Linked DNA regions of Lonchura striata. The protein of the gene in region 3 interacts with the protein of the main gene of each other region in a pairwise test. Links are inferred from orthologs where the notes say so. Each region holds a gene or a part of one and is shown on either strand. Other genes may lie near its edges. The genes, in order: RNF20, NFKB1, HTT and PPARG.

Region 1 (7,126 bases), on a different chromosome or scaffold from region 3:
TTCACTCTCTGCTTTTCTGCATTAACAAAAATGAGTCAGGTTAGACTTGGGAAAAAACTGAGACAGTGTGGATGTGGCACCAGTTCACTGCACAACAACCAAACTGCTCCTATTGAATCTACACACAAAGCCAGTCAAAGCTGAGAGTAGCAACACCCTGGAAATAAATGACCTCTGTACTTAGAGAGCTTACAAAACCTACAGAACTGAAAAGCAACCTGGAGCCAAGGCTTGCAAAGACCCATTCCAAGAGTTTTGCTGTGTACCAGGAGAGATGTGAACATTTTTCAAGAGAACCTACTCCTAAGTCAATCCAGTCTGAAAAGCTCTGGACTACTAGAGAATCACGGAACAGCTGGGATTGCAAGGGAAGACAGGAGGCCACCTGCCCTGTGCCCTGCATGAAGCAGGCTCAGCCAAAGCATGTCCAGTGCAGGGCCTGCTGAGGGTCCTGTCCAGGCAACCTGAGCATCTCCAGCTACAGAAACTCAGCCATGACTCTGGGCAGCCTCTCTAGTGCTTGATCATCCTTAACATTAAAAAAGGCTTTTCTCATGTCTGAACAGTAATTCCTGTAGTTCCCTATAATATTATTGAGCAAAATTACAAGTGTATCCTCAAAAGGTTTACAATACAAATGGAAGTGACTGGAGATGAAACATGGAACCAACCAATCTTCACTAGACATGAGCTGCAGTCTTCTCCCACAGCCACTGGTGCTGTGGCAGCCTCTAGACTGAATGAAACCAGAAGTGAATGAAGTGCAGACTGTACCAGTAAATCCTGACTTGTTCCATTTAAGCCTATAATGGCATTTACAGTCAAACTAGGGGTTATGAACTGAACCTCCCAGTTCCTACCTGCTTTAATTGAGCAGTTCGACTGAAAGCCACAAGGCCATTGTGTTTTGAAGATGAAGATCGTACACTGCTTTGCCAAATCTCAGCAATTCACAAGCATCTCAGCTTGGCAGTGCCCTTCATCATATGCAAAATAGTATAAAAATTATTTCTGAGTTACTGAAACAGCACAGATCCTGTGAGGTATCTTTTAACAGAAACATTAAACTACATCTCAAATTTACAAAGAAAGACAACTGCCACTGAACCATTTTCCTTCTCTTAGCAGCAGCTCTGACTTTAGGTGGAATTCCAAGAGAATTGGAAGGGAACAGCTATCACTAAAAACATCTCATCTGTCCCCTGTCAGTCCAGCAAGCCAGCACTGCTCACTGCCTTTCACACTTTTTGTCCAGGGACAAAATACCCCTTCCACTGCCTCCTGGCATCACCCCTCTCAGCTCCAGCTCCCCTCTCACAACCTCCTCATACACTGTACACAAGACCCCAACCCACTAATTTTTTATGGCCACAGACCCAGTCTTTCACAGAATCATTTAGAATGGGAAAACCTCTGAGACCGAGTACAACCTATGAACCAACACCACCCTGTCAGTCACACCATGGCACTGGGTGCCACATCCAACCAGAGACAGGGAACCCACCAGCTCCCTGGACAAGGCCCTTCCAGTGCCTGACAATCCTTTCTGCTGCTCACACACAGAAGAGGTAAAGAACTCTAATCATGAATGTACATTTCTTTGAATGTCATATTTATTTCCTTCTTGACACAGAACTGCTGATCTGCTCTGCTAACTAACAGAGTAAGTTGTACTCAGTCATTCTGTATTTACTTAAAAAAAACCAGGTGGATTTCTGATTACAAGCCCTATCAATTGAAACTCAAATTACATTTTCTTTTCTTACTTACTATCATTTTACAACTAAATCAAAAACCTTTACTACACCTGCCACCACCTGATGTTCCTGCTACAGTACAGGAACTATACTACAGACACTACACACATATAAACCGGGATTTATGTACAGACACAGAACAACAGAAATAAAAGCACTGGGCAGATTTTAAAACTATTATTTGAGTTTATACTCCCCAGCAGGAACTCCAGTCAAACAATGTTCCATCCACAAGCCTAACAGGATTTTTCCATGGCTTCAGATCAGACTCAGCAGGAATATTTTAAGCATTGGAGGAGAAAGGGGAAAACTTCCAACCCTCTGCTCTGCTTGGCACTAGCATGGCATGGATGGGGTGCTGTGTCCAGGACTGGACTCCTCAGTACAAAGACAAGGAGCTGCTGGAGAGGGTCCAGTGGCAGCCACAAAGATGATGACGCCTCTGGAGCATCTGTCTTATAAAAAGAGATTGTGATATCTGGACCTGGTTAGTCTGGAGAATACTGTGAGGGGATCTCATTAATGCACACAATTATTTCCAAGGTGAGTACTAAGAGGGTGTTTCAGACTCTTCAGTGCTACCCAGCAACAGGATGAGGAGCAGTGGCCATAAACTAAAACCCAAAAAATTCCACATGGGGAAAAACACTGAGGGTGGCAGAGCACTGGAGCAGCTTCCCCAAACATCGAGGACTCTCCCCTTCGGAAACATCCCAAGCCCATGTGGATGTGTTCCTCTGCCACCTGCTCCAGGTGACTCTGCCTTGGCAGGGGGTTGCACAGGGTGATCTCAACCCTGCGATTCTGCGATTCAGCTTCCCCACACACCAGCCGCTCCCAGAGCTCCTCCGCTCTCCCGCATCCCGCGGGGGTCCTGCCCCTGACCCGGCACCTCCCCACAGCGCCAGCCGGACACGCCGCGGGCCCGTCCCTCCCTCCGCGGGTGTGCGCTGCCTGCAGCCCCCAGCGCCCCCTCCGTCCTCCGCACGGCACCTCCCGGCTCTCTGCGGCCCCGGCCGTCCCCACAGAGCCGCCGCGGCCGCCTCGTCGCTGCCGTAACCGCCGCCTCCTCCTCCGCCGCCGCCGCACCCCGTCCCGTCAGCAATGGCCGCCCCCCGCCGCCCCTTCCGGCCGCCATTTCGCCCTCACCCGTCATGGAGGCGCCACTTTGCCCTCGCCCGACATGGCGGGACCGCAGCGGCACCAGACGCCGGCGCCCTCACCCGCACCAAAGATGGCGGCGCGGGCGGAGCCTCCCCCGCCCACACGCGGCCCCGGCGGAGCGGCCGCCTCCCTGCCCGACCCGGGATGGAGCCGTGTCCCGGCCGGACCGGGGGGCAAGGGCGTCACAGATGCTGAATGTGGGCAAAACATCAATGGTCTGTCCTGGCCATGGTGTGGCAGGAGGGCCAGGACAGTGATCGTCCCCCTGCATTCGGCACTGGAGAGGCCACACCCTTGCTCCCTTCCAATAGCGAGAATGTTCTGCTTTCCTCAGTATTGTTTAAAGATTAACTGCGTGAATTATGCAGAGACAGAACAGCAGATGAGGGAAAAAAATACAAGAAAAAATCTGAGTGGTGAGGAGAGAAAGAGAGGGATTCATAATATTTGTATTAATAACTGAGATTCTTTTTTGAAGAAAGTGGGAGAGCCAAGCAATCCAATGCTAGTGCAGAGGAACTGCAGAGAGTCTTCCAGCAATTTGCAATTACTTAGTCTACCAGGAATATGGCAAATACGGTTGCTTTTTCCTGAACCTTGTAGTCTTTCACTTGCCATTACTACAAGGAAGAGTTGAACACTTTACAAAATTACAGTTGGTAAGAAGTGAAGTGACTGAAGCTGGGTGTTTCTTGGAAAGAATGTGCACATGTTCTTAGCATAAGCAGAGGGGAGCCTGGTATGAAGAAAACCACCGGAGACCTGGACATGAACTGAATAAAAAAGTTGTGTAAGAAAGCCTAGAAAAGAGACAATTTGGAGCTTGCAGTGTTGGTATGCTCAGACTGTGGCCACTAAAGGGGACCTGGCTGGACTGAAACTCCTATAACCAAGAAGTGCACAGCCTTGTGACCAGGCTGAGCATCACCCATTACCTGTTCCAAAACCCTATTCCAAATTAAAAAGACCCACAAAACCTCAAACACTGTCTTTCCCTCAAGTTGTAGGAGTAGTAGTAGCCACCAAATTTGCTATGAAAGCCCAACACATGGGTGTGAAATGCATCCTCTTTGGTAAGGTGGGAGGTGGAGACACAGCATTGTGAACTATTCATGTATTACCCAGATGTGTTTGCAAATATACAGGTAAATATGGAGCTTTAGCATACCCAGGACAGTACCTAAAATTATCTTTGATCCAGCAGAACTGTGCTGCTTCCAAGAGGAAAGGCTCTATGGGAGATGGTCTGGGAGCCCTCTCACCTGGAGGGCAGAGGGAAATCCTCTCTTTTGGGAGAAGATTTGTGTGCCTGGAGTCTCCTGAAGAAATAGCAGAGCACAGATTCATCCCAAAGATGGGAACAGAAGAGCTTTGGCCAGTCAACACAGGTGCTGTCAATGGCAGATGAAGAAAGGGATTGCAGGTTGCACACTCAAGGAAAGCACACTTAAAAGCTGAGCTTTGAAGCACAAAAAAAAAAAAAAAAATGGGCTCAAGAACATAAGAAGCAGCCAGTCTAAGATTATAAAGTGGAAAAGTGACATCTACAGGCAACGAGTAACTGGGCAAAGTAAAACAGTACCCAAAACGCTCACAGCAGACTAACTACCCTAGAGGAGATAACTGGATTCCAAATTCAGTGGAGAAAAGCCATGTGCATCAATATTTCTGTGGTAAAGATGTATTTTTGTGTCAGCACACAAATGAGCCTTTTCATTAACTGGGTTGTTAACTGGAGCCATAGCAGTTACTTTGTGATAATGCAGTGCCAGGCACCCAGAAGAGCAGGTATGAAACACAGCCCTCAGTCCTGTGTCAGCTGGCACATCTATTCCGTGCCTTCTAGATCAGATCATAGAGGTGAAGTAAAGGAAGGAAAAGTCAGAGAAAGAAAAAAAAAAAAAATTTAAAATGCGTATTAGTGGAACATACTTCGAAATAAAAGTACCAGACCTGCCATATGTGTGTACAGGTCTTTGACTTCACAGCAAATGTAGCTTTTTTCTTAAAAACAATTACAATAGATAAATAAATAGGATGAAGGGCTTGTACTGAGCTTCCTAACCCCCCTTAATTTCCTCATACACTGGCTACAGGCAGAGTGATTCTATCTTGTCCTGCTATTTTGATCATTGGTGCTTTGAAGCAAAGATAGAAACACCAGTGTCTTAAAAGACATCCCTGTCTTAATGGCTTATTTGTGGAAGAGGCACTTTCATGTTACCAAAGTGTGATAAGCAGCAACAAGATTAATTTTAAAAGCTAAGCTTTGAAGAACAAAGCTTCAGTCCTTGCTCAAAATTTTGTCCTTGAGGATTGTTCTGGTGTCCTCTCCTCTAGACATGACTTTATCCTTACTTCATTGTAAGGTAAGGATAAAACATACCATTGTAGCTAAGGTTGTGCTCTGAAAATAGGATAATTTTTGGTTTTCTTCTCAGGTATTGTGAAGTAGTCTACGTTGTTGCTGTGGGCATGAACTGGAATGAAGGGTGGTGCTGCAGGGTGCTGTGCAAGGTTCACATCAATTAGGGCCAACAGTGGAACTGCATTTGATAAGATCAGGTACTTTACCTAATGATATCCACTCAGTGGATCAGATCACACAGAAACGTATCACTCCACAGCATCCTTGATCCAGCCAACAATTGCTGTTTATGTTATTTGGGATGTCTTTCTCTTGACAGACAAGCTGACTAAAGAAAATGAACACACATAGAGCTGTAGCCAATGCAGTGAGTTCTTGCTTTTCCATTGAAAGAAGTTGCATTACTTTTTTTTTTTTTTTCTGTTATTGTTATTGTTATTGTTATTAGAATTGGATAGTTCTTCTTTCCTAAGTAGCATAATAGGATACTTATGACTCACATCTGGGGAGAGAGACACTGATCCTATTTTGCCCAAGTGTAGTAAAGAAATTCCATTGTCACCTGACCAGAAGGAACTTGAATAGAAATGTTTCAGTTGCTTATATATGCTGCACAAAAATTCTCACTTACTTTTGTTTTGTCATGTTCCTACCCTAGTTGTCTTCCTCTTGTAGTGAAACACTTAATGCTAAATGGAGAATATGTGTATGAATTGAAGAAGCTCTCTCACTCCACTGACACCCAGATCATCCTGGCAGGCAATCTGAAAAAGACAGAATGAAAGATTTCAGTCAGTGAGAAACCCAGGCTGGAAAGTCTCAGCAGGGATTATTAGTGATTGTCTTGCTGCCTCACTGCCCAGCTGCCATAGTGATAAGGAGAAATGAAAAGCCCAGGAAACAGAGCACAGGCTTTACTGTCTCTTTCCCTTTCCCTCAGTCACTCTCTTTTGGTTTTTTTTTGTCCTGGCACCACACCACCTTAATTTGCTGTCTGTGCAGAGGATTCCTTTGAGCAAATAGAAATAGTCCTGAAAATAGTGATATGAAGAGTTTCCTGTAAAGGAGCTTATGACAACTATCCAAACTTATTTAATTGCAGTAGATGCATTTGAATTTTAAAGACAGGCTCTTCAGAATCCTGGTAAGCTTTTTACTGGTGCATTTAGAGACCAGAGAAAGAAAACAAGCTGCATTTGAAGATAATAATTACTCAGCAGTGAAAATTACAGAATTCGCAAAATCAATTCTAGAATCTCTAATCAAACCCTTCAGCCTTATCCTTGCCAATGTAGCTCATGTCATTATAGCAGGTTTTACTTCTAGATCATGGACTAGTCACAGACTTTTATATCTTGCTTAAGTTTAACCTTAAGACTTTCAAACAAAAAAAATTACCAGAATGAATTAAAAATATTAACTAGGAGTGAAATACTTGAGCCTCCATGTTACATCCATTATTAGGTGGAATAACAAAACACCATTCAGCTAAACTGAATCAAAACCTCTTAAATTTCAAATAAGGCTGCCCCTTAGAGATTTGAAGCAGTTTTAAAATAGTTATATTTGACACAATTTTCCTGAGAATCTTTGTGTAGTTAAAACCTTGTACAAATGGTACTCAGACTTTCCTAGACAGGCCACTTCTCTCATGCCAGCATCTGACCTTTAGTTCCAGAAGCACTCTCCTAAAATTTGCAGTTAGCAAAAGCAGAGAAATTGCTAGCACTCTGTGCCTCTGACAGAGTGCAGAGTTTACTAGTGAAAAGTGCCCAGTGACCATACAAAATAACATTACTTCATTTTGCAAGAGAAAGTAAAAGTTTTCCAGCAATCC
Region 2 (7,067 bases), about 39 Mb from region 3:
TCTCTGAATGGTTTCTACAAACACAACCATTTCTATTCTGTCAATACATGCACATACTCTTGTACAGTGTTATTCTGCTCGGCCACTAAACCTGGGCTGCCAAGTAGGACCAGCCTAGGCCACACTTTTGGAAGAGAATGTATGTTCTGCATGAAGCAGCTTCAATGCTCTGATGAACTGGTCAGCTCACAACTTCTCACAGTGGTCTGGGTAGCTCCATTGAGAGCAGCTACCTTGCAGCAAGTTCACAGAGAATCTATAAACCACCACTTTTGGAGTAATCATCTGCCAGTGGAAAAGAAAAGAAGGAAGAAGGCATAGCATTACACAGACAAATTAAGGGAAGGCTAGGCTAACCATTCCAAAAATTATATATATCAAATTGCCTTCTCTACTTGGCTCTTTCAATGTCCTTTAGGAAGTGATACCCTATCATGTATGACAGTTGTAAGTAAATGTTGAGCAGTGTTCCCTTTCTTGTTTACTTCTAGCTCTCTCCAAAGGCTCCCTTTTCTCTGATAATTATACCCATCAGCCATATCTACAGCTTCATGGTTCTCTTATTTAAGTCTACTAACTCCCCAGTACCTGTCCCCCAGTAGTTATTCACTACTGAAAACTCCTGCCTTCAGCTCTGGCAGTCTTACCCAAAACATCAGAAATTTAGTCTTTCAGCAGAGATACATGCCTAAACTACAGTGGGGTTAATATGAGATCCCATGTCTGATTTGTGGCTCTGGAGGAAGCAAGTAAGAGGTACATTTGGGATGTGGCCTATGTAATTACAGGAGCCACCACACTGTTCAGAGCCTTGCAGGGTGTTGCTCTGATGAAGTATGTGATGAATTGCAGCCAGTTCAACATCCAACAAAAATGACAGAGATGATACAAAGTACTTCTCATGAATGCTGCAACATAGGGATTCAGCAGCACCATTAAACTCTACACCCTGCTAGCTGCAGTTCAAATGGTTGGCTTTGCAAATGTACATTGGCTATTTAGAATATTTTTTTCAAATATAGTTTCTATTGTCAACTTCATTAGGTCTTCATATATAGTCTCAGAAAGATGACACCATCTTTAAAATACAACTTTTTTTTTATTTTTTTAACATATTTTCTTCCTGTGATAGTGGTGGATTCAAGCTACAGGAGACAATGGCAATGCCAACAGCAAATATTGGCTAAACACTGACAACTTCTACGAGACTGAAGTGTGTTAAGATAATCATTGGCTACTATGTAAGGCAAATCAGTTTTTAAGTTAGCAGTTCTGGATTATCTGGATGAGAAAGAAATAATGGATTGACCAGAAATAGATTTGGATAGTATGGCATAGTAGCTCAATGAAGATGGGCAGTTGAAAGCTTTAAAAGGAAGTGTCTCTCAGTAGCTATTTTAAACTTTCCTTTACCTTTTCCTGCTTTAGCCTCAAACCTACTACGTCAAAAGGAATGAAAAGAGCCTATCCTGATTCCAATACATGCGTCAGAAACAGAAGACAAATAATGTAAGAAACTTTCATGAGTTTTTCCAATCCAGACATATCAATTAAAGACTGATTATTTTAAAAAATCTCTGCTTGTCTTAGATGTTTATCTATCATTAGTTACATGATTAAAAAATACTGAGGCCAAAGATTTCTGACCTTGGAAAGAGATCTGTATATCTGGAGTCCCAGAGCAAACCAAGCAGAGAAGAGGCTCAGCTTCTAAATTACATCTGCATATCAGGAAACTTAAATGTCCCCCACCTGACTGAGGTGAAACAGCCTGGTTAAGCGTACAGCTAGAAAGCCTTTCCTTCAGTGCACCTGCCCAGCCGCCAGAGACATGGCTGCAACCATTTCACAGTGGTTCAACAGCTCAACAGCAGGCATTTGCTCCTTTGGGTTCAGGTGTGATCACCTGCTCCTCATCTCTGGGCTGAGATTGTCCAGCTACTGAAATAACTTGATGGTAATAGTGGAAACCAGTGTTATTCAGGAAACAGGCAGCACTTCATCACTGCGAACCACTGAGCCTGTATTATCTGCCCGATTTCCTCAGTGGTTGGAGCAGAATTATTTGGCTCTTCAAGTGGGAATCCTGGGCTATAAAGCAGTACATTTATCTAGAGTGTTCTGTGAAGATAATTTTACCAAAGTGTGGGCTTACAGCCTGGCACTACTGTGGGTGTCAGTAGAAATAACACTTCAGCTATGGTATTAAGCTCTAAAAAAGGCAAATTTATGCTTTAAATATAATTGAGAAGAGGATTTTATTTTTGTGGATTTTTGTGGAAGCTGCTTAAGATTTCACAGGGAAAGCTAAGCCTGAGTACTTAAATGCATGTCCTTTTAAAATAAATCCACCAGGTAAGTCTCCTTAAGTTTTGGAATTTATCCACCTTGTCTGATTTCCTGGTACTTGTTCATACATGTTTTGCCCTGTGAGCACACCTTTGATTAGGTATGACATGGCACCTTTCCTTCCAAACGAATCTTATTTTGAAACATCTTTGTATTTAAAATCCATCTAGACTTCCTCCTTCAAGGGCTTTGGGACACAATTCTTTCCTCACAATTCTTTCCTATTAATTCAATGCATTTTCTTCCATTAAAAAAAAAATAATATTGGTCTTGAATATCCCCATATAATAAGGAAAACATGTTTTACTCGGAAATGCTGAGTCATTCTCAGCTCCCAGTATGTACTGGGAAGAGAATGGGGGACTGCATTGTTAGAATTGCATCACAGAGCATGAGTGGCAATCCAAAAAAAGGAAATTACTCCCTCTTCCTATATATTTATGTCTAACATGTAGAAAATGTCATTTTTCAAGACAGCAAAGAAAATCCCTTTCATCTCCGAGCTCTCTTTTGCATTCTCAGCTCTCATTTTAAATAGTGTCTCTCTGCTCCAACACAGAGATGTGACACAAAATGTAACATCTGAATCTACTCCCTTTCTGGTAAAAATACCCCTTTCATTTTGTTCCAATCAACAGGTGGCTTATGATTGGCCTCTCTTCCTTTTGAACATATTTTTGCTCTAGGTTACAATTACTTGCTTCAACACAAAAAAAGCAACAGTCATATTCCTTGGTTCCTTTATATGTTTGAGGTTTTAAATTCTTATTTTAAGCTATGATTTTTGTTAATCTCATTCATGAAGCCCCATGTTATGTGGCCTTAGCATAACAAAACTCCGCAGAGGCGTGCTGCTGACTTTCTGCACAAACACACATTCAGAGAGCTATGCTGGATGCTCATTTGAGACACTCGTCACCCTTAGCAAACCAGACGTTTTAAGATTTAGCATAAAAATATTTGAACTTGTTTTACATAGTATTTGTGCCAATTAAACGTGGCTCTAGCTGCCTTGCTTCAGCCTTGGTTAAATGTGTCTGGGAGACTTGATTACCATGCTGCAAACCTGGATTCTGGTATTAAAATCACATTATTGATGGTTGGCACTGTTCAACAGAAGCCAAGTTACCTGGGAGCCTGCTCTGTCAGAAACTGTGTAAGCCTACACACAAATGGTGCCGTGCAGCCCGTACTCCCTGCCCAGCGGCGGCAGGCATCGGGCGGCAAGAGTCGGAAAATTTCCTTTAATGAACTGCCTGGGAAAGCCAGCTAGCAGCCAGGCGCTGCGGCAGGGGGGTTAAATTCACCCCATGCAGAGTCTCTCTCTCGCCTTCCAAACTTTATATCTAGAGGTCAAAAAAACTTCGGCAGCCACCGGGTCGGGCCCGTATCCACAGAGATGTCGCGAATTCCGCCGTGGTCCAAGGAGCGTGGGCAAGGACGGGATGATTCTTGCGGCGGCGTAACTGCCCTGGGATGAAAGGACCCGCGTGTTTACGCGGTTTCACCCGGGCGGTGAGCCCGTCCCCGGCTCGGGGACCTCGTGGCCAGCGGGCGGCTCGGTACAAGCGCGCCCCGGCCCCTTCCCTGCCGCGGCCGCGCCTCCTCCCGCCCCGCCCGCGCGGCCCTCCGCGCTGCCGGAGCGTCAGCGGGAATTTCCAGCAGGAAGTGCGGCGGGCCGGCGGCAGGGGCGGAGGCTGCGCAGGCCGGTGCCGGGCGGGCGCCCTCGCCGGTGGGGCGGGCGGAAAGGAGGGGGGACTCCGCGCGGAGCCGGGCGGCGGCACGCCGGGTTACATGGCGCGGCGCTGAGGGACCGCCGGCGGCACAGCACGACGAGGAGGAGGCGCCGCCAGCTCTGCTCCGGTGAGCCCCGGGCGGCCCCGGCCCGCACTCGCTGCCTTCCTTCTCCCCTGTCTCCGCGTCCTCGCCGGCGGGAGCGGGCATTCCGCTGGGCTGGGGCAGGGATTGCGCGGCTCTCGCCTGCAGCCAGCCCGGGGAGGCGGCGGGATGCCGGCTTTGCTGCTGCTGCTGGGTTACCGGGCTCTTCCTGGCGAGGGAAGGGGTGCCCGTGACAGCAAAGTGAAAAAAACTTGCAAGCCCAGCTTCTGCCGCTCGCGTAGCGGGTGCTCGTAGGCAAAGGAGGCGCTGCTTTTGTCGCTTTTGGTTTCGAAGGTGACACACGGACGCGCTGAGCCTGGGACGCGGCCGGGGCACAGTCGCCGGCCGGGCTCAGGAGTGCAGGTGGGCACCACGGAAACGTGGGCTGGTTCTGGCAGCTCTGGTGAGCTGGTCTTGGCTGCTGCCCCAGAGTGCCGCAGACTGATTTAGGAGGTACGAAATAGTGAGGTTTTTAAACGTAACGTAGTTGCAAGTGGTGAAACCCAAAAGTTCTCGTCGCGACCGGGAGTGTTATTGCAGTGATTACTCAGTTACATTTGACCTTGAAACCCAAGAATATCGAACTTCTCATCATCGCAATTATTTTTTCATCTCTTGGTGCTTTCTGCTTTGGTGAAGGAGAGCTGCTGACTTATTTTACGTGAATGTGAATCGGAGTATTGTTTCTGTGACATGAGGTATGTGCTCTTGGGCCGTTATCATCATGTGTACTGCTGCGTATTTTCAAAATAAGTAAATCTCAGTGCCTGTGAGCATTTGGGGAATAAGACTTTGGAGGCAAGGGATCATCTGCTGCATTTCAACTTCCTGTCTTAAAATGCTCAAAATCTTCGCTTAAGAATAATGTTTTAAAGGAAATACATATTATTTGTTATCAAGATATTTTAAAATAGTTCTAAAATGATGATCATATTTGGCATGTTTCGTGCTCCAGAAGTCCTCTTTTCACTTACTCTGTTCACAGAGAAAAGTGGATGAATTCTTTGCCGTATTGCCTTGTGCCTTACATGCTGCAGGGTGTTACCACCAGCACTGTCAAGCTCACAGAACAGGGCTGAAAATAGAGCACTTCGATTTTATTGACATCTGGAGTCTCTCTGCTGTGGACTGTGTAGTATCAACTTTTGAAATAGTATTTCAGTCAAAGCACTTGTGTTCTTTCATGAAAGAAAGTAGCTGCCCGTTCTAGGAAAGCGTTAACCAAGACGTCATTCTAAGATAGCATCTTGTCAGCAATGTTTTGTAATCTACAGAAATGGCTACAGTTTATGAGAAAATGAAAGAGAAAAACGTAGTCTGTAACCATCCAGAAACAGATTCTCTGTTCCGTAATTTTCCCTGGCCTGAGAATTTAACTAACAGTTACGCAGAAATACTATTGTCAGGATGTGCCACAGTGCATGGAGATTTCGGGGAACCTCAGTGCTGAAATCTATGCAAGACATGTTAAAGAACTTAATTTGAAATACAAAACAGAAGGGAAAAAGCTTTCTTTCCACCCTTTGTCCCCTTTATAAAGAAAGAAATGTCAGTCAGTGGTAGAGTCATCAAAAAATGTAGTTACTGTCTCGTGCAAGAAATGAATACATTTTGAGTTAAAATTATAAAACAGAGCAGCTTTATATCACTTTGCATTGTGTCGTGTGTTTTTAAAAAACAGGTTTGTAACAGATAAATTAACTATCTGTATTCACTTTGTTCCGGCAACACCTCAGTAGTGGTTTGGTAGTATTTATTTTGAAATCAGAAAAGTCTGCTGGATAAAAGTGTTGGGACAGAGAAAAGGAGTAAGAGGGAGACAGGGTCGAAAGCAGACACTGGTGTTTCATTTATGTGCACGTTTGATGATATCCTGCTTCATTTGTTCAAAAATAGCAGTGCTGGTTACTTCTCTGTTACTACGTATTTTACTTTTGAAAATTAATTTAAACAATAAATGTAAGTTTTCTTTAAAATTTTACTTCTAAAAATTCAATAATAAATTTAGTTTACTTTTTTTCCTTGAGGTGGCATTATGTGACTTCAATAATAGATACCTGCAAATAAATATCATTGATGCAAATTTGCTAATTAATAGATTTTTGAGGTTCCTTTTCATTGCTGCCTTTTCCAAAACCTTCCCATGCCACTTTCTCATGAGTACATGCAACCAATACATGCAAAGATATATGTTCTGTTAGGAATTCATATTATTGTGCATATTGCTGACTCTGGAAAGATGGGAACTAAGTTTGAAGGCCTGTGAGTCTTTACTATCAGAGGTGCTTGTAATGCAAAGTAGATTTCATTTTTGAAGTTGCAAAGATACAGCGAGAGAAAATGTATCTTTTACTAGCTTACTGTTGGTTTTTTGGTATAGCTAGTGATGAGAAAATCCACCTGTGGTCCTCAGAGATGCTGATTAATTCTACTGTGTTTTCACAGATCGCTCCAAACTACTTGCTGAAATACTTTCACCTTTCACTGCTGTGTTTGCCAACTCTAAGTACAAGAGTATCAGTCATAAATAAAATTACTTGTTTATGTAAGCAACTAATGAAAGCTCTACAGTTAGTTAAAAATCCTTTCTTTCAACGTACTGATAGCTTTCTTTTGGTTCTCTGACAAAATAACACAGCTATTATAAAACAAAGAGAAGATAATGAATGGTTCAGGCAGGTAATGAAAAGGGCAATTCCTGGTTTTGGTCACTTTTAGCTCTGACAGAGGTATTTTAGAAGTGGAAGTTGTAATTTGATGTCCTTTAAAATAAGCTGTGAACCTTTTATGAAGTTCTGTGTTGATAAGATCATAATTATGGTTGTCATTAACTGTGCCCT
Region 3 (8,021 bases):
CTTGACATTGATCTTGACAAAAATAACAGAAACTAAAAACTATTATTTTAATAACAAACAGAAATATGAGTGGATCAGATCAAGAAATAAACTCAGTCCAAACACAGGGGACACCCAGAAACAAGGTGCATTAATGCAGGCAATGATGGATTGTCAAATTAACCAGAACTGATGTACTACATACCCTAGACATGGTAAAAAACCATCAAGGAACCGCTTCTGACAAGCAGGCCCATAGGTAATACCCATGCAGTTTGTGTGATCTTCAGTAAAACAAAACATTAATGCTAGGCCGCCATATAGCACTGACCAAACCAATCTACAGCTTCAGTCAAACATAAAAGACACGGAAAAATTGAAAAGTATAGAAAAAAAACCATATTGCTTGGGCTTTTACAGTACCTTTTCTGTAAAGGTAATGGTTGGAATCAAATGTAAAAAACTTGAAAACAATTACAGTAAGTGACTACTACAATAAATTGACAAGAGAAAATGTAAGAAATCCATTTTTGGATTCACAAATCAAACTCTAAATTTTTACATCATACTAGTAAACTAAGTTAGTGGGAGCTTTGTGATCCAAAACAAAACATCCAATTTCTAACAAAATGTCAGTCTGAAAAAGCTGAAAAAATATAAGGAAGAAAATTAGTTGCCTAAGCAGAAGTGCATAGAAGCAATATGATAGGAGAACTCAATTTTACATAGATGGGAAAAAAACCCCAACAAGAGATAAGAAAGAGGGGACCAGAGACTAACATCTGACTGCATGGTATAACACATGATTATTGCTGATTAGCATCTCTTGAAACAGAAAAAGATCTTATCTTCTTGGTAAAAGCTTGGATTTAATAAATATTTTAATAAAAAAAGACAGGATAATGGTATTATCAAAAGTTCTGGAGTCATTGTCTTACAATAAAGTGAAGAAAGATATAAATACCTGCTGGGTAAACAATTAATTCTTCTCTACCCCAATCTCTCTGATCTTAAAACATTTCATAACAGGAGACAGTCCTCAGTAGGATGATAGGAACTTACTACACAGAACTACAAGATGTGTATGTGTTATTTACACAGAACTACAACAAAGATGAACACTTCTCCCCAAACACAATTTTCCTTTTCAGTCTACTACAAACAAGAAAAAACAAATGCAGATAGTATTGTGAATTACATTCAATATGTCACCTGCTATTTCACTAAAAGTCTGAGAGGCCTCAGCAAAGGCTGCCACAATAGCTTTTCACTGGCTTTTATGAGGCTCAGTGCTGTCACAGAATTTGTCCAGTTCCTGGGGGCATACAATCCCATCAGCTTTTTAAAACAGCCTATTTTTAAACACAAAGCAAAGTCAAGGAGGACAACTCCAACACTAATTTTTTAATGTTTACAGCAGAACATACCTAAATTTAGACCATCAAACCAAGCACAATATCACAAGCATCACAAATAATTCTAAGGATTTTCTCCTGCAATACCATGACCTCTCTCACCAGTAACAAGACAGAAATTTGAATAGCACACAGAAAAGACTGGAAATAGATGTTCATCCATGTCACACAAAGTACTAGCAAAAAGAAATGCACACAGCAGAGAAATTAGTCCCTGCAGACCAATAAGGCACCTAAGAACAACGAGCTCATGAAGAAGATGAGTTTTCTCACCTATTAAACATCAGAAGTGTGGAAATGCATTGTGATTGTTTGAGACAACATTCTCCAGAGAGAAACAACACCAACCGTGATAATTTAGTTGGCAACTGTATCAGAAAGTGCAGTGGGAACGGGTGGCCAGGAGCCCAGAGCCACTGCTCCACTTCCCCTGCCAGCACCACAAATTGCCAAGTTAGAAATTACCTGCTCCTCAATCCTTCTGCTTCCACCTTCTCCTCAACAGCAGGAGAAAAAGTACCTGTGTGACTCATGTCTTTATCCCTAAAAACCTTCCTGCCCCCACACCCGCTCAGCAAAGGCTGGTGTTAGGGGGTGCAAACGCAAGGGGCAGCACCGCGGTACTGAACAGCTCCTTGCCCTGGGGCACCCAGCAATGCCCCCCATGGAAACCTGGATATCTCATGGATCTAACACGTTTATCCCTTACACTTAAGAATTAGGAATGTTTAAACCATCTTCTCTTAGGTCCCTATGCAGCACACAAGACGTTAACTTTGTCACAGACATTCACAACATCTCCTTCTGAAAGCATCAGAGCTCAGACTAAAACTCTTCAAATTTGCAGTTTACAAACATCAAAACATTTCTTAACTTCAACATGAACTTTAGGTAAAGATATGAAAAGTGAATAAGAGAGTGGAAGAAATTTCTCTTGCTCAGCCTTGAACCCTCATTTCAGGAAAGCGGTACAATCGGCTGCAGATAGTTCAGAAAAAGGACACTCATGCAGAAAGCGTCAAGCACAGAAAAACAAGGTCTCACAAAAAGCGCTTCAGCAGTTATCACAAGAGAAAATGCTCAAAGTAGTGCTTTATTCAAGTTATGCTTAAGGGTTTTGGTCTTTTTTGCAGCAGTGTACTAAGTGAAAAAAAGGCTTTCCTTCCTAGAACCAGCCTGTGAAAGCCGCACAGCGTTGCTGTACCTCCCGGCCATTTCCCGCACGGGTGACTTTTCAAACGCACTTGGCCCAAAAGTTACTCCGCGTGTGAAGCGGGGCAGAGAGCCGCCAGCGGCAGCGCGGCACGGCCGCGGGAGCCGCCGCTGCCGGGGAACGGGGCCGGGCCGGGCCGGGCCGGGCGGGACGCGGGACACGCGTGTCGGGAGCCGCGGGTCCCGGCGCGGGGCACTCACGGTCTCTGCAGCGGCTCCTCGGGGAGGGCGGCGGGGCCCTGCTGCTGCTGGAAGGAGCGCAGCGACTCGAAGGCCTTCGTCAGCTTCTCCATGGTGGCCATGTCCGCTCCGCCCGCGCCGGCGGCACCGGCCCGCGCTCCGACCCGCCCTGTCACGGGCGCCTGGCGGGTCCGAGTGCTGTCCCGCTGCCGCTGCCCCGGGCTCGCTCCCGGCGCTGTGCCGGCGCTCTGGCGGGCCCGGGCCCGTCACAGCCGCGATGAATGGGGCGGGCGCCGCTCGGGGCCGCGGCCGCCTCCCGTCCGCCCCGCCGCCATCTTGGATCCGTCCCGCCGGCCCCCGCGCGCGGGCCCCGCCCCCGGGGCCGCCCCGCCCCCCCGGAGCGGGGCCGCGGGCCGGGGCTCGGCCGCGCGTGCGCACATGGCAACCCCGGCCTGGCGTCACGCGCCCCATTACGTCGGAGCACACGGGGACACGCGGGCCGCGGCGGGGCGGGGCAGCGGCCAGAGCGACAGGAGCTCTGGCCAATCAGAAGGGAGCTCCGCCCCTCGCCGCGTGCCGGAGCGGCCGAGCGCGGCTCTTGCGGCGCCCCCTGTCGGCAGCGGCGGTGGCGCCCGGGAGGCGGCGGGGCCGCGCTCGGCTCCGGGCGGGGCCGGGCGGGACCGGGCGGGACCGGGGGTGCCGCGGGCGGGGAGCGGCCCTGGCAGCGGCCCGGGGAGCCGCCGGCAGCCCCTGGCACTGCCCCGCGGGGAGCCGCGCTCCCAGCGGCACCGCAAAGCGAGAGCAGGCGCTGTGCGGCCGCACGTGGCGGGTGCGCAGCAGGTAACGCGCCAGCCCCCGCGGCACAAGTGGCGGCCAAAGGCGCTGCCGGCACTCCGGTTTTATTTTAGGCTGCAGAGACTCTTACAGGAACAGGACACTTAAAACTCGGCAGCGCACGTGCTGGCCTTTCAGCGCTGCGTTCCTGAGTGTGGATCTGCTTTATCAGAGCATACTTAGTGTGCGCACATACAGGATACAAGAGCGACAGTATTGAATATTCAAGTCATTGATTCCATTAGTAAACAGAAAAAATCGACAGTTCTGTTAAGTTTCCAATTGCAACCACTGATTTTAATATATCTACTTGTTAATACAGACATTAAATTACAGCTGATGAGAACTGGCAATTCAATTTATCTCACACACACAAAACCGGTTCCAGCAGTAAAAATGGAGAACAACTCAGGAATTCTAAGAAAATAAATTTCCAGTAACTCAGCTTGGTTATTGTTAGCAGACATGAAGAAATGAAGCAAAGCTCATGTCTCTGAAAATTCAGGGCAAAAGAAGTCATAGATAACATTCTTGCCAAATACTCACTAGAACAGCATTCTCTCTGCCAGTTAATTTTATTAGTATGTTAATAAAAGAAACTATTTGAAACAGTCCTCTGAAAGGAAACCTATCCTTAGCCCTGAAAGCAATTCAACTTGAACAAAACCTTATTTCATTATAGAAGTGCTACAAAATGTGAGCTTTTAAGGTAAGACCAGAATTTCTGATAATTCTATGATAAAGCTTGCAGAAACGTTTCTCTGGAACATGTGGATAATCATGAATTTTTTATTTAGCAAATGATACACGATAAGAGATGACAGCAGAGTTGGAATGCTGCACACTCTGTGCATGTGCCACTCCACACTTTGAAATAAATGTGAGTAAAAAGAGCATAAGGTCTTATCAAAGATTAACCAAGCCACCTTGCGAGGCTGTTTTGAAGCTTTCCATGCGATGTGCCAGTCCCTGCGGGCTGCTGACTCACGGGCAGGAGCGCCAAGGCCGTGCCTGCCCGCAAGCTCGGCGCTCTTTGTTCTCCCTGTCCCGAGCTCCAGCGCTGAGGCTCATTAGCTGTGAGCTAACTGGGAGGTAATTCCGGGTATCAGCATTTTCTATCAGTAGGTTCTGCCAGCCCAAACTGACTGATCCATGGTTTTGCAGGTATCACGTCACTGATCTGTCCCACAAACACACACTCTGACAAAAGTAAAGAGGTGTAAACGAGGTAAGGGGCAAGAAAAAGCAAGGCAGGATTAGAGAAGTGTTTTTGTAAAGTCAGCGTTACTTCAAAGAAAAATGAAGTTCCAATTAACAGTGCATACCTAAAAGAAGATCTGAAATTTAGGGGATGACAACTAATTAATCCCAGCCTCCAGAAGAAAAAGGAAAGAAAAGAAACATGCTTTAATGTTGTTTCTTAAGTTACCTCTTGATTTAATGCTTTTAAGATAAGCATGTCAAGAGTATTTTTTCACCCTAACCTGAAGTCCCACTTTGGCCAGCATTTCTGCATTTCCATGAACAATTCAGTAGGTAATTGGTACGTGACACTGCTGGCCCACATGGTTTGGCATATGCTCGGATCATCTGCAATATGTCACAGCACAGTTGAATGTTTTAAGGTCATTTAATTTGAAGCCCTTTTGGAGAGCATTTGGGGGCTCTGTCCTTCAACTCATGCTATAAAATTACAGTAAATGTACTAATGAAAAACAGCCCATCCCGATAATTCTGTCTTTTCACATGGAAATTTATGCCAAAGTCTAGATCCAGACCATGAGATAAGGTATCAGTTGAGCCAGTACAGCAGAACTGGGGCATTTTTTCCTGGATTCCACTGTCTTACACTGGTAAAAAGCTTACACTATGTAGGAGACATTTCCTGCTTCAAGAAACTGGAAATTTATTTTAATTACAATTTTCTTTTTTTTTATTTCTTTTTCAATCCCAGCTACCATGATAGACATGGTAAATAAATCACATTAGACAGTAATACATGTGGTTGAGATATGTGGCAGTGTTTTGCTTTTATTTTAGGAATTACAATGCTAGAATGTCCAGGAAAACAGCTCACACAAAAACAGTCAGTGGTTTGGAGATGCTGGAAGTAACACATCACATTTAACAGTCAGCTTCCTATGCCTGGAAAGAATTCTGGTGTTTTGGACACAATTGGATCATGGAAAAAAGTTACCTACATGTCATGTGCAAAACTTAAGTTACACCACAACAGCAATTATGAAATAAAAAAGAATATTTCATTAATTCATTCAGAAGAGACATAATCATCACCAAATAAGCGAAGTGAGTAATTAAAATCAAATCTTCAGCTTAAAGATGCTTTCCAATAATTAGAATTTCACTTCCTAAAGAGAAGTGTTTCTGAAAACCTATACTAACTAAACTGAAGATAAGTCCCATGTTAAATTCATATAATGCTAAACTGTAAACCATAGAAAATTATTACTTTTGTTGTCATATTTTAGTAACTTGTAAACAAGTATTCTCCATCTGTATAAATGGCAATGAAGAAATTCTTACATCAGTGTAGTTCGAAAAATAATTGAAGTGCATTCTAATAATGGATTGTTAGTTGGTTTCAATAGCTTCTATCATTGATTTATAAACCAGATGATTTTATTTTGATTTGGAGATAATTCTCTTTCATACTCAAAAACATTCAGGACTACTGTTTTATGAATGATTTGGGGGGAAAAAAAAAGAACGTGATATTAAAGGCTAAGGTTTGTCAGTAACACTCTTGTTGTTACACACATACTACAGGTTTTTTCCCTACTTACTATTGGTTTTAAGTGCTCATTTTTTCAGCTGAGACTGTTCTGTTGTTTTTATAATCCAGAAACAATACCATCTCTATTATGAACGCACCTCAGGGGACAGGGGGAAGCTGACAGCTTTCTTAATAGAAAAAAAATCCCTGAGGCATGAAGATTTTGTTCTTCTGGTCACAACATTGAAAAGCATTAAGTAAATCAATAAGACACTGGTACATTGTTTCACAGTTTCTGAATTTTGAGCTAAATAGAGAGGTTTGAGGTACTTGCAAGCAAACATGAAGATTTACATACACAAATACTTGGAAACACGCCACAGGAAAGGAGGGTTGATCTCATGCAAATAACTCCATGGAATTCCATAGGTCTTTCCAAATCTTGCACCAGAAGAACATCGGATTGTCTCAGTGCTGTTAAAGCCTTCTAACACATGGGTCTAGAGAATGAAGTCATGCTGAATTACAAGAAATTATGTTGGCTTCCCCCATCCCACCCCAACAGTTTCATGGAAGTAAAAGGCCACATGATCAGTAAACATAACCTGCTATTTTCCCCCTTCTTTGTCCCAGCTTTGTCCTAAAAAAATTCAAGAGTTAAGTTCATATTAAATTTCTTGCACCGTGATATTTTGCTTTCAGGCATTCTCCCCTCTCTTTAGCCTTTCCCTGCTTTCAAGATGCACTTCCAAGCTCCTTATATTCCAGTAAAGACTGGAGTATAAGTAAAGTCACCTTAGATTAAACAGCATAACATCTTCCCTCTGTGTATTGTGTAAGGAGACTTATGCTGATTGCTTATCCTTCCAGTTCCTTGTTTTTTCTAATTCTCCAGGGGATTCACATCAGATAAATGCAGTCATTATTATGTGCTCGTATTTCTAGCCAAAAGGGACAAATTTATAGGACAACAATGCCATCTTGAGCCTGTTGGGGAAGAACCAATCAACTAACCAAAAGAACCCAAACCCCAAACCCAATGAAATTAGGTCATAATCGAACAAACATGTATTCACTCAAAAACAATTCAATAGTACTATTCTGAACTTAAGGAAAAACTTGTGAAATTACACTTGTGAAATAAGTAAAACTTAATAAAAACAAATTCTCACTTTTTTACAAGGAGTTCCTTTTTCCAAAAAAGCGGACATGTAAATAACCACTTCTAAGGAACAATTTCCCTTTCATTTAGCCCTCTTTCTTCACAGATTCCTGGAAGATATATGTTAAGCCCAAACACTCCAAAATAGAGAAGTGATTTTTTTTTAAAGTTAAGATTCCTCTCCATCTCATACAGAAGGAGAACGTGAAATACATGATAAATAGAGTTTCAGATTTTTTTTTTTTTCAATCTGTTAAAACTAATTCCTGTATTTTCTTCATAAAAATTACTCAGCTTGTGTTCATGGTATTCTTCCCCAAATTTCAAGTTACTCTACACACACATTAAATCCAGACAGTCACCCTACATGTCTGGTGTTTATACAGTCACCTTTGCCTCAGAACAACAAGCCTAAGACCTTAAAAATTCAAACCCCTTAATCAGGGAAATGATGACTTCTCCAACCATGTAGGTATTTATAAAAACCTTTTGTTACTTCCCTATT
Region 4 (7,282 bases), on a different chromosome or scaffold from region 3:
CCAAGAAATTTGGATAAACTGGTTCTAAATGAGGCTCAAAATGATCTCTTGGTTGCTTTAAAAGGATTCCTTCAGAAATGAATTTTGGATGGATTAACATCTGACAGATACCAGTATGTGCTTGAGCTCCTTATTCCTATATTTTCTTTTACCTGCTAACTGTCTGTGATGTGCAATTGGGGCCCATTTAATCAGAATGCAATATCATATTCAACCACAGAAGAGCCAGACAGTCCTAGAGAGGAAGTTATTCCCTCCAAGATGAAATCAAAGTTAAGAGTTGGGGGGAGTCTGGAGGTCAGGAAGAAAACCATTACAATTTAGAGGTAGGCAGGCTGGTGTGATCTTGGCTTTCATGAATTTAAAGCAGACAAGGTTTGGATTTTTTTCTCTTTTTATCCAAGCCTCGAAGTTCAGGCAAAGGAGGCTCATTTTTAAGGGGTTCTTGTTTTGACCCGCTCTGCAGTTATCTGTGAAAAATCTGCATCGTGCCTGCCTCTATCCCTCCTGCTGGATCCCGGGAGAAACTCACCCAGCACAATCCTGTACTCAAGGAATGCAGTTTATACCCCAGGTTTTGCCATATATCTGTGTAAAATGCTACTGATAGCAGCTGAAACTCTGAATTCCCTTCAAGTAAAGAGTGTGCAAGCTGTAGATAGGAGTGTGGTGTGATATTATGACTTACTTTTTAAAAACATGCCTTGCCAGACCAAAAGCTGCCAGTAAAGACAGAATGAGATATGCTGAGGCAAATAAGATATGCTTTTTTATCAATAAAAGGACACCAGATATATGAATTAAAATATTGCATTGCCCAAGAGAAAGAACACGGGGTAACTTTAAAAAAAGGCAGCAATACAGGACATTTTTAACCTTTTTAAACTCCATTCCTTTAAAGCAATGCAATTTGCACAATCAGAACTTGCTGCTCAGGCTGTCAGACTTCTGGCTGCACTCTCAGAGCAGGAGATTGCCCTCTAGATGTTAAAGGTTTGGCTACTTCTCCATTCCATCCCACAGCACCAGCATAGGACACACTGCAAGATTTTAAACTTGAGTAATGCAGCCAGAGACTGAGCCCAAACCCAGGGGAAACATAAAAAGTCAGTAAAAGAAGGAATTTGTGTCTTTGCAGAGATGGGAAGGAGTAGAAATCCTTGCAAGGCTGCCACTCTTTTCAAGCCAATTGTAAAACTCACAGCATCACCTCCAATAAATTAGTTTTTCTAGCCATAAACACCTACCTGGAATTCCTTAGAAATTGTTGCACAGAAATTCCTTCACCAAGATGGAAAAGAGAAATGAAACCACTCAGGGGAGGTTATTTTGTCATTGCTAACACCCTTATCCATCTGGAGATTCCACAGAGTACTCATTTCAGTTTCTCATCTCAGTGAGAACTATTTTTGCCATATGATTCAATTTCATCTACTTCGAATTTTCTGAATAATTGAAACACATAATGTACAGTCAGTCAGTCATAACTGCAAGCAGAAATAATTTTTTTCAGATGCAATAAATGCTTCAAAAAGACTCACCACGAAAAATGGGCTGATTAAAGTTAGTTTAAAATGCAGTTCTTTCAGATGAAAGGAATTAACTGATGCCTTTATACCCAACAAGAAAAACAGAGTATAATTGATCTTGTGTGAAGGCAAATTATCTTCTAATTTTAAAACCAGAACTGATGCTGAGAGAGTCTTTTCTGCTTCTCTTTGAACTTAGGGGAGAACTGCCCATGGATCAGCAAGGCCTGAGCCTGACATTTCACTCTTGTTTCATAACTCTGAGAGCTCCCAGCCAAGCTTAGGAATCCTCACAGATAAGGAGGGGAGAAAGTCTGGATCATCAAAAACTGCACAGTCAAACAATGCAAACAAAAACTTATGAGAAGCTGATAAATGTCTTTATTATGACCATTTCATTACAGTATAAAGCAACTTGATTACAGAATAGATAATATATTTGTAGTCTGTAGTATTTCTTTACCAATACAGAAATGATTGGCTTTCTCTGAGAAAAAAAAAAAAAAAATCCACTCTTTGTTAAGGAAAAAAAGAAAAACAAAAAACAAAAAACAGATTAATTCAAATTATAAATAAGGCATACTTTTAATTACCAGAGAAAATGTATGGGCTCTTCATCTTGTCATTCTTCAAACTAAGATTAGCTGTCCAAAAGAAACATTTAATGAGATATTAAATCCTAACTAGAAATCCGTGTTAAGCAGGAAATCAGACTAAAGGATCTTTTCCTTTCCTGTCTCAATCTGCTAAAATGCATATTTACAAAATCTAAGTAATTTTTACGTAAGTTATCGTTCTGGTTTTGCTTTATGAGTTCTGTTCAAAAGGTGAACTCAGTAAAGAAAATAATGCTTAGAACAAAAATAGACTGATAGTGTATTTGTAATATTCCTGTGAAAGCTGTGTTTGGCTGGTTTCTCTGGACTGACTTAGAGATATCTGTCTCACCCATACAATTTAATAAAAATCCAAACTGTGCTTTGTATTTCTGCCTTTATTAAAAGCCTGGGCTCAAAGCAGGACTGCACAGTTCCAACTGGATGTTATCAATACCTTCCAATTTTTGGAATGCTTCCAGTTGAGCGGAGTTTGAAAACGTTTGCAGGTTAAATTTTAGGGAGGGATCCCAAAGGTTTGATTTTTGGGGAGGGATCCCCTTTTTTCAGACATTTAAGCTAAATGGGGAATTCTCCAGCAGCAGAGCAGCAGTTCTGTTCTCACCAGGGCTAAATCAGAACTCTGTGAGGGTCCAGCTCAGATCCTTCTCCTTTTAATTTTCTGTTGAAATTCTACTTCAGCTCTTGCAGTACAGTGGTAAAAATACTAGTAACCAAGGTATTTTAAACCTCTTTGTTAAGATTGTTTTGCCCACATTTGCCTCTTTGTTCATCCATGGTAATTCTGAGGGTTTGTTTTACTTGTTTGCAGGACCTGGCTTCTAATTCTGAGCCAGGGTATTACTGGAATAGGTTATTACTGCAGTATGTTAAAATAATTTTTAAAATACCCAACCCAAACAATAAAAAAGAACCACTTAAAAAAAATATTTCCACATTTCCAAGGCGAAAAAAAATTCAGATGAAAGGGAAAAAGCAGGAATTGAAAGAAAAAATCCTTGATCTGTCAAGACAGAGGTAACACCTCAAGCCTATACAAATAGACAGATAATTCTCATAAAAATTAAGACAAGGCTTCAAGCCTCTGCAGACAGAGAGATTGTTCTCATAAACAAAAGGCTGGAGGCAAAGTTAGTATCTGTAGGTAGTCCAGGTATTTTGACGTGTTCAACCCTAATCTATAAATTGCCTTCAGTATACAAATAATAAAGCAAATGTGGGCTCTCTTTCAAAATGCTTGATGACTAAGAATAATGAGGCAAATTTGGGATCCTCTCAGCCTTCCAGTGATGTCCAAGGGATCAGGAGTTTTTCAAGATAAACTGTTGTATCCCGGGGCACCTGGAGTTCCAGGATGACTCTCTAAAGCCTGTTGATCTTATGCCTTTTTTTTCCACATCTAACTTCTTTTTCAAAGCCTCAGAGGCTGAGATAGAGGAGGTGACAAGCTTGTTTGGGCTTGCTGCCTCTGGAGAGGTACCGAGCACAGCCTATAGCGCTCGGCTCTGCATTCCTGGGAGGGGGGAAGAGCGCCCAGAGATAATCTCAAGCGAAAAAAAAAAAAAAAAAAAAAGAAAGAAAAAAAAGTGAAAAAGAATTCGCTTTACCTCCGTTAGTGCTAAGAACCTTTTCAGAAAAGCCTTTACTCCTGTCACAGCAGGACACAGCCTGACGTGAGGCGACCCAGCCAAGCAGGCAGCGCAGAGCGGAGCTGGCTGCAGCATGGCAAGGCAAAAGAGAAAGCAGCCGGCAGGCGGAAAAAGTGAATTTTCAGTTACGGGAGATTACGGGGAGCAGAGATCAAACTCCAGCTGCGCTGCGGGGCCGCGCTCTGCCCTCGGCCACACGCGGCTGCTCCGGCTCCGCGGCCGGGCCGGGCCGGCCGGGCGGCCTGAGGGGACAGCGGGGCACGAGCGGCTCCTCCTCCTCCTCCTCTCACTGCCCCGCTGCCTCTCCCGGCCCGCTCCTCTGCGCCATCCCTGCGGCCGCCCCCGGTCCCCATCCCCATCCGCTCCCCGTCCCTTTCCCTGCCCGGCCCCGCTCGCCGTGGGCCGGCGGAGGCGGCGCCGGGGGGAGGCGGGCCCTGCCCGGGAGGCCGGGCCGAGCGGGGGAGTTTATCCCGCTGGAAGGGAACGGCAGCTCCCGCTGAGAACTGACAGCGCCGGGGCAGTGCGGCTGCGGGCACCGGCCCCGAGGTGAGGGCGGCGCGGGGCTCAGGGAGCCGCGGGCAGCGCGGGCAGCGCGGGCAGGGCCGCCGGGGTGCGGGGTGCGGGGATGCCTGGGTGCGGAGTGCCGGGGTGCGGGGTGCGGGGTGCGGGGTGCCGGAGTGCCGGAGTGCGGTGTGCCGGGGTGCGGGGTGCCGGAGTGCCGGAGTGCGGGGTGCGGGGTGCCGGGGTGCGGGATGCGGGGTGCGGAGTGCCGGGGTGCGGGGTGCGGGGGTGCCGGGATGCGGGGTGCGGGGGTGCCGGGATGCGGGGTGCGGGGTGCCGGGATGCCGGGGTGCGGGGTGCGGGGGTGCCGGGATGCGGGATGCGGGGTGACGACGTGCCGCGCTCCGGCCGGGGCAGCCCGGGCGCTGTGTCCATGGTGCTGCAGCGGGTGGCGGCGGAGGATGCTCGGCGGCGGAGGGGCGATGTCCCGCCCGCAGAGCCGGAGGTGATGGGGAGCGCGGATGGATGGGTGGATGCGCTGCGCGCCGTCCATCCCTGCCGCCCGTGCGGGAAGCTCCGCCAGGGCAGTGCTGAGCTCACCTGGCTGCTCTCGTAATGAATGAACAGCACCTTTTTTTTTCCCCCCTCAATTTCCCAATCGCAGAAAGTCGGGGAGCCTCTCACAGCCTGCAACAACTGAGATGCTATGTTGAAATATATTGTGTCTTGATGGCATGCCTCAGGTTCGCAGGAGCGTTTTGTAATCTTCCTGGTGTCATTTCTCCCCAGGGTATTCTGCAGCTAGAGAGTGCAAGTTCCTGTGGTGTTGTAACTTTGTGGCCCCGTGTACACACGACAATACTATGCTGACTTAACAGGGATGCGTTCATTAATATTAGTGATGTAAGGCTGGTATTTCTTGTGATCAAAAGCTCAGGGAATTACCAATTTCTGGATGTCCTTTGGAGTTTAGGTTCCTTTAAATCAGATGGATTGGTTTTAATTCTCCTTGAAATAACCAGGGGTTTGGATTTAGATTTGTGACTTGCTGTCCCATCTGTGAACAAGCTTTTGCTGTAGAGCACTGTTACAATGTTCCATTTAAAAATATCTATTTTCTGGTAGCAATTAGTCTATCATTTAATAAGTAATTTACCTTTTAAAAGGTTACTATGATTTGTTACTAGTTAACCAAAAATTCCCAGTGTACACCAAGCAATTGTGACATGATACTGAGTGCTCGCCTTTGAAAAGAAGTTTCATATGGTGTGCTCTCCTTAATAGCAGAATTTGGTGCATCAAGTGATGTGTTTGACATCATTATTCACTTTGGCTGTCACAAAAAAAAAAAATTGCTGCAAAAATTGCTGAGAGATTTAATTATGAGATTACAAGAAATCACTCCTAGCAGTGTGTTAAGGCATGTGGCACAATATAAGCATGGGCTTGTCAAGGGGAGAGAGAGCTGAAAAAAAATAGTTGGCACTGACTTTGAATGATAACCAATCAGAAATATAATATAAGGTATTTTTACACAGGCAGCTTTTGAATTTGAATGTTTTTAGGCATCAGTTTTGTAAAATATCTCACTAACTTGTAGTGGTTCAGAGATTCTGTACTTCTAAACAGCCTTAAGATGGTCTGTGTTTCTTAGAAATGCCAAAATCCTGGATAATGCAATGTATTTAACATCAGCATTCAATGAAACTTCCATTAGAACACAGAATATACAACTAATACATTTTTCTGATATAAATTTGTTTTGTATAATGAATCCTGAAATGAAGGCGGTGATATATTAGAATTTAGTTGAAGGATATTGAAGCTAAGCCTTTTAACCTTCCTTATGGGACTGATAAATGCACCCCTTATCAGCAGTGCTTTTGAATCTGACTCTTTTGTGAACTTTTAAAATAACCGTAAGTCCATTTCTAAGTTGATAAATTTAGGCATTGTTTCAATTACTTTTAGTGTAATCTCCTCCTTATAGTAATGGCTAATAAAATGAATTTTGAAAACAATTTTATTGTAAAAACAAGAAAAAATTAAAAGTAGAATGAAAAATCTGTCTTGTACAAAGGTGGACCAAATAATGAAAAGTAAAATTAATACTTTTTTTCACCTTGATTGGTGAGGACAACTTCAGGTTTTTTTAAATGTAATCTGCTCAGAGTGGAGTTGAATATCTTTCCTAGCCCTTTTCAGTAGCCTAATAGTGAATCAGTAATTGTGTCTATTTGATATTCAGAATCTGTGTTTCTTTTACAAGCTTTTTGACGAGGATTATTCCCATAATAATCACGCAGTAAAAGTTTCCAGTGCAGTTACTCAAGAGGAATCATCCTACAATTACAAATTCTCCATGAGTCTTTTGAAGTCTTGGATAAAATATTTTCCATTAGTTATTGCTACTAGGTTCATTTTTTAATCACTAATAGGTTTATTAAATCCAGCATGATGTTAGATGATAAGTGCTAATTATTTCATTCTGTATTTCTAGTTTTTTAACAGCAGGATCTGGTTTTCAGGTACTTTATGCCAAATGTTCTCTGTGTGTCAGCTCACTTTTTGTGAACAAGAGGAAGAGTTAGAAACAATCAAAAGCAAGAGAACATTGATGTACTCAAGTCCCACTCCTCACAAACGGGAGCTGGGGGTTCCCAGTAAGAGATCAATTTAAAGGACTTCATTTACAGAGTACCTGGGGAGAAAATCTCCTCCTTGCCCCGGCTTTTTCCCTGTGGGGGCTTTTCCAAGGCAGAATGAAAAATGGAAAAGCCGTAAGATTTGTCTTTGGATTGATATGAACCATCAATTGATTCCTACATTAAATGATAAACCTTTTCTATTTCTTTTGTCTATTCCCCCTTCCACTTTTTATTTTCCACAAAGGGAAGATCCCAGGGAGTTTTTCCAGTTGTGCTTTCTTTTAAATGTAGGGTAGTCCACTTTTCCCAGAGGTGCTGCTTTCAGGTTCCAGGGACAA

Evidence for each region.
Region 1: the proteins of HTT (region 3) and RNF20 interact in binary tests that used the Homo sapiens proteins (3 or more experiments, as listed by UniProt). The link is inferred for Lonchura striata from reciprocal best matches to the Homo sapiens genes HTT and RNF20.
Region 2: the proteins of HTT (region 3) and NFKB1 interact in binary tests that used the Homo sapiens proteins (3 or more experiments, as listed by UniProt). The link is inferred for Lonchura striata from reciprocal best matches to the Homo sapiens genes HTT and NFKB1.
Region 4: the proteins of HTT (region 3) and PPARG interact in binary tests that used the Homo sapiens proteins (3 or more experiments, as listed by UniProt). The link is inferred for Lonchura striata from reciprocal best matches to the Homo sapiens genes HTT and PPARG.

The regions. Positions count from the first base shown.
Region 1 is NC_134642.1:59,176,509-59,183,634, forward strand, and holds the start of RNF20 (E3 ubiquitin-protein ligase BRE1A), read right to left. Parts: upstream 3,012-7,126; 5' UTR 2,907-3,011; intron 2,878-2,906; exon of another isoform or gene 2,751-2,877; intron 17-2,750; 5' UTR 1-16. UniProt on the Homo sapiens protein: Component of the RNF20/40 E3 ubiquitin-protein ligase complex that mediates monoubiquitination of 'Lys-120' of histone H2B (H2BK120ub1).
Region 2 is NC_134606.1:48,747,430-48,754,496, reverse strand, and holds the start of NFKB1 (nuclear factor NF-kappa-B p105 subunit), read left to right. Parts: upstream 1-4,045; 5' UTR 4,046-4,212; intron 4,213-7,067.
Region 3 is NC_134606.1:9,473,791-9,481,811, reverse strand, and holds the start of HTT (huntingtin), read right to left. Parts: upstream 3,010-8,021; 5' UTR 2,909-3,009; coding exon 2,808-2,908; intron 1-2,807.
Region 4 is NC_134614.1:4,878,633-4,885,914, reverse strand, and holds the start of PPARG (peroxisome proliferator-activated receptor gamma), read left to right. Parts: upstream 1-4,274; 5' UTR 4,275-4,341; intron 4,342-7,282. UniProt on the Homo sapiens protein: Nuclear receptor that binds peroxisome proliferators such as hypolipidemic drugs and fatty acids.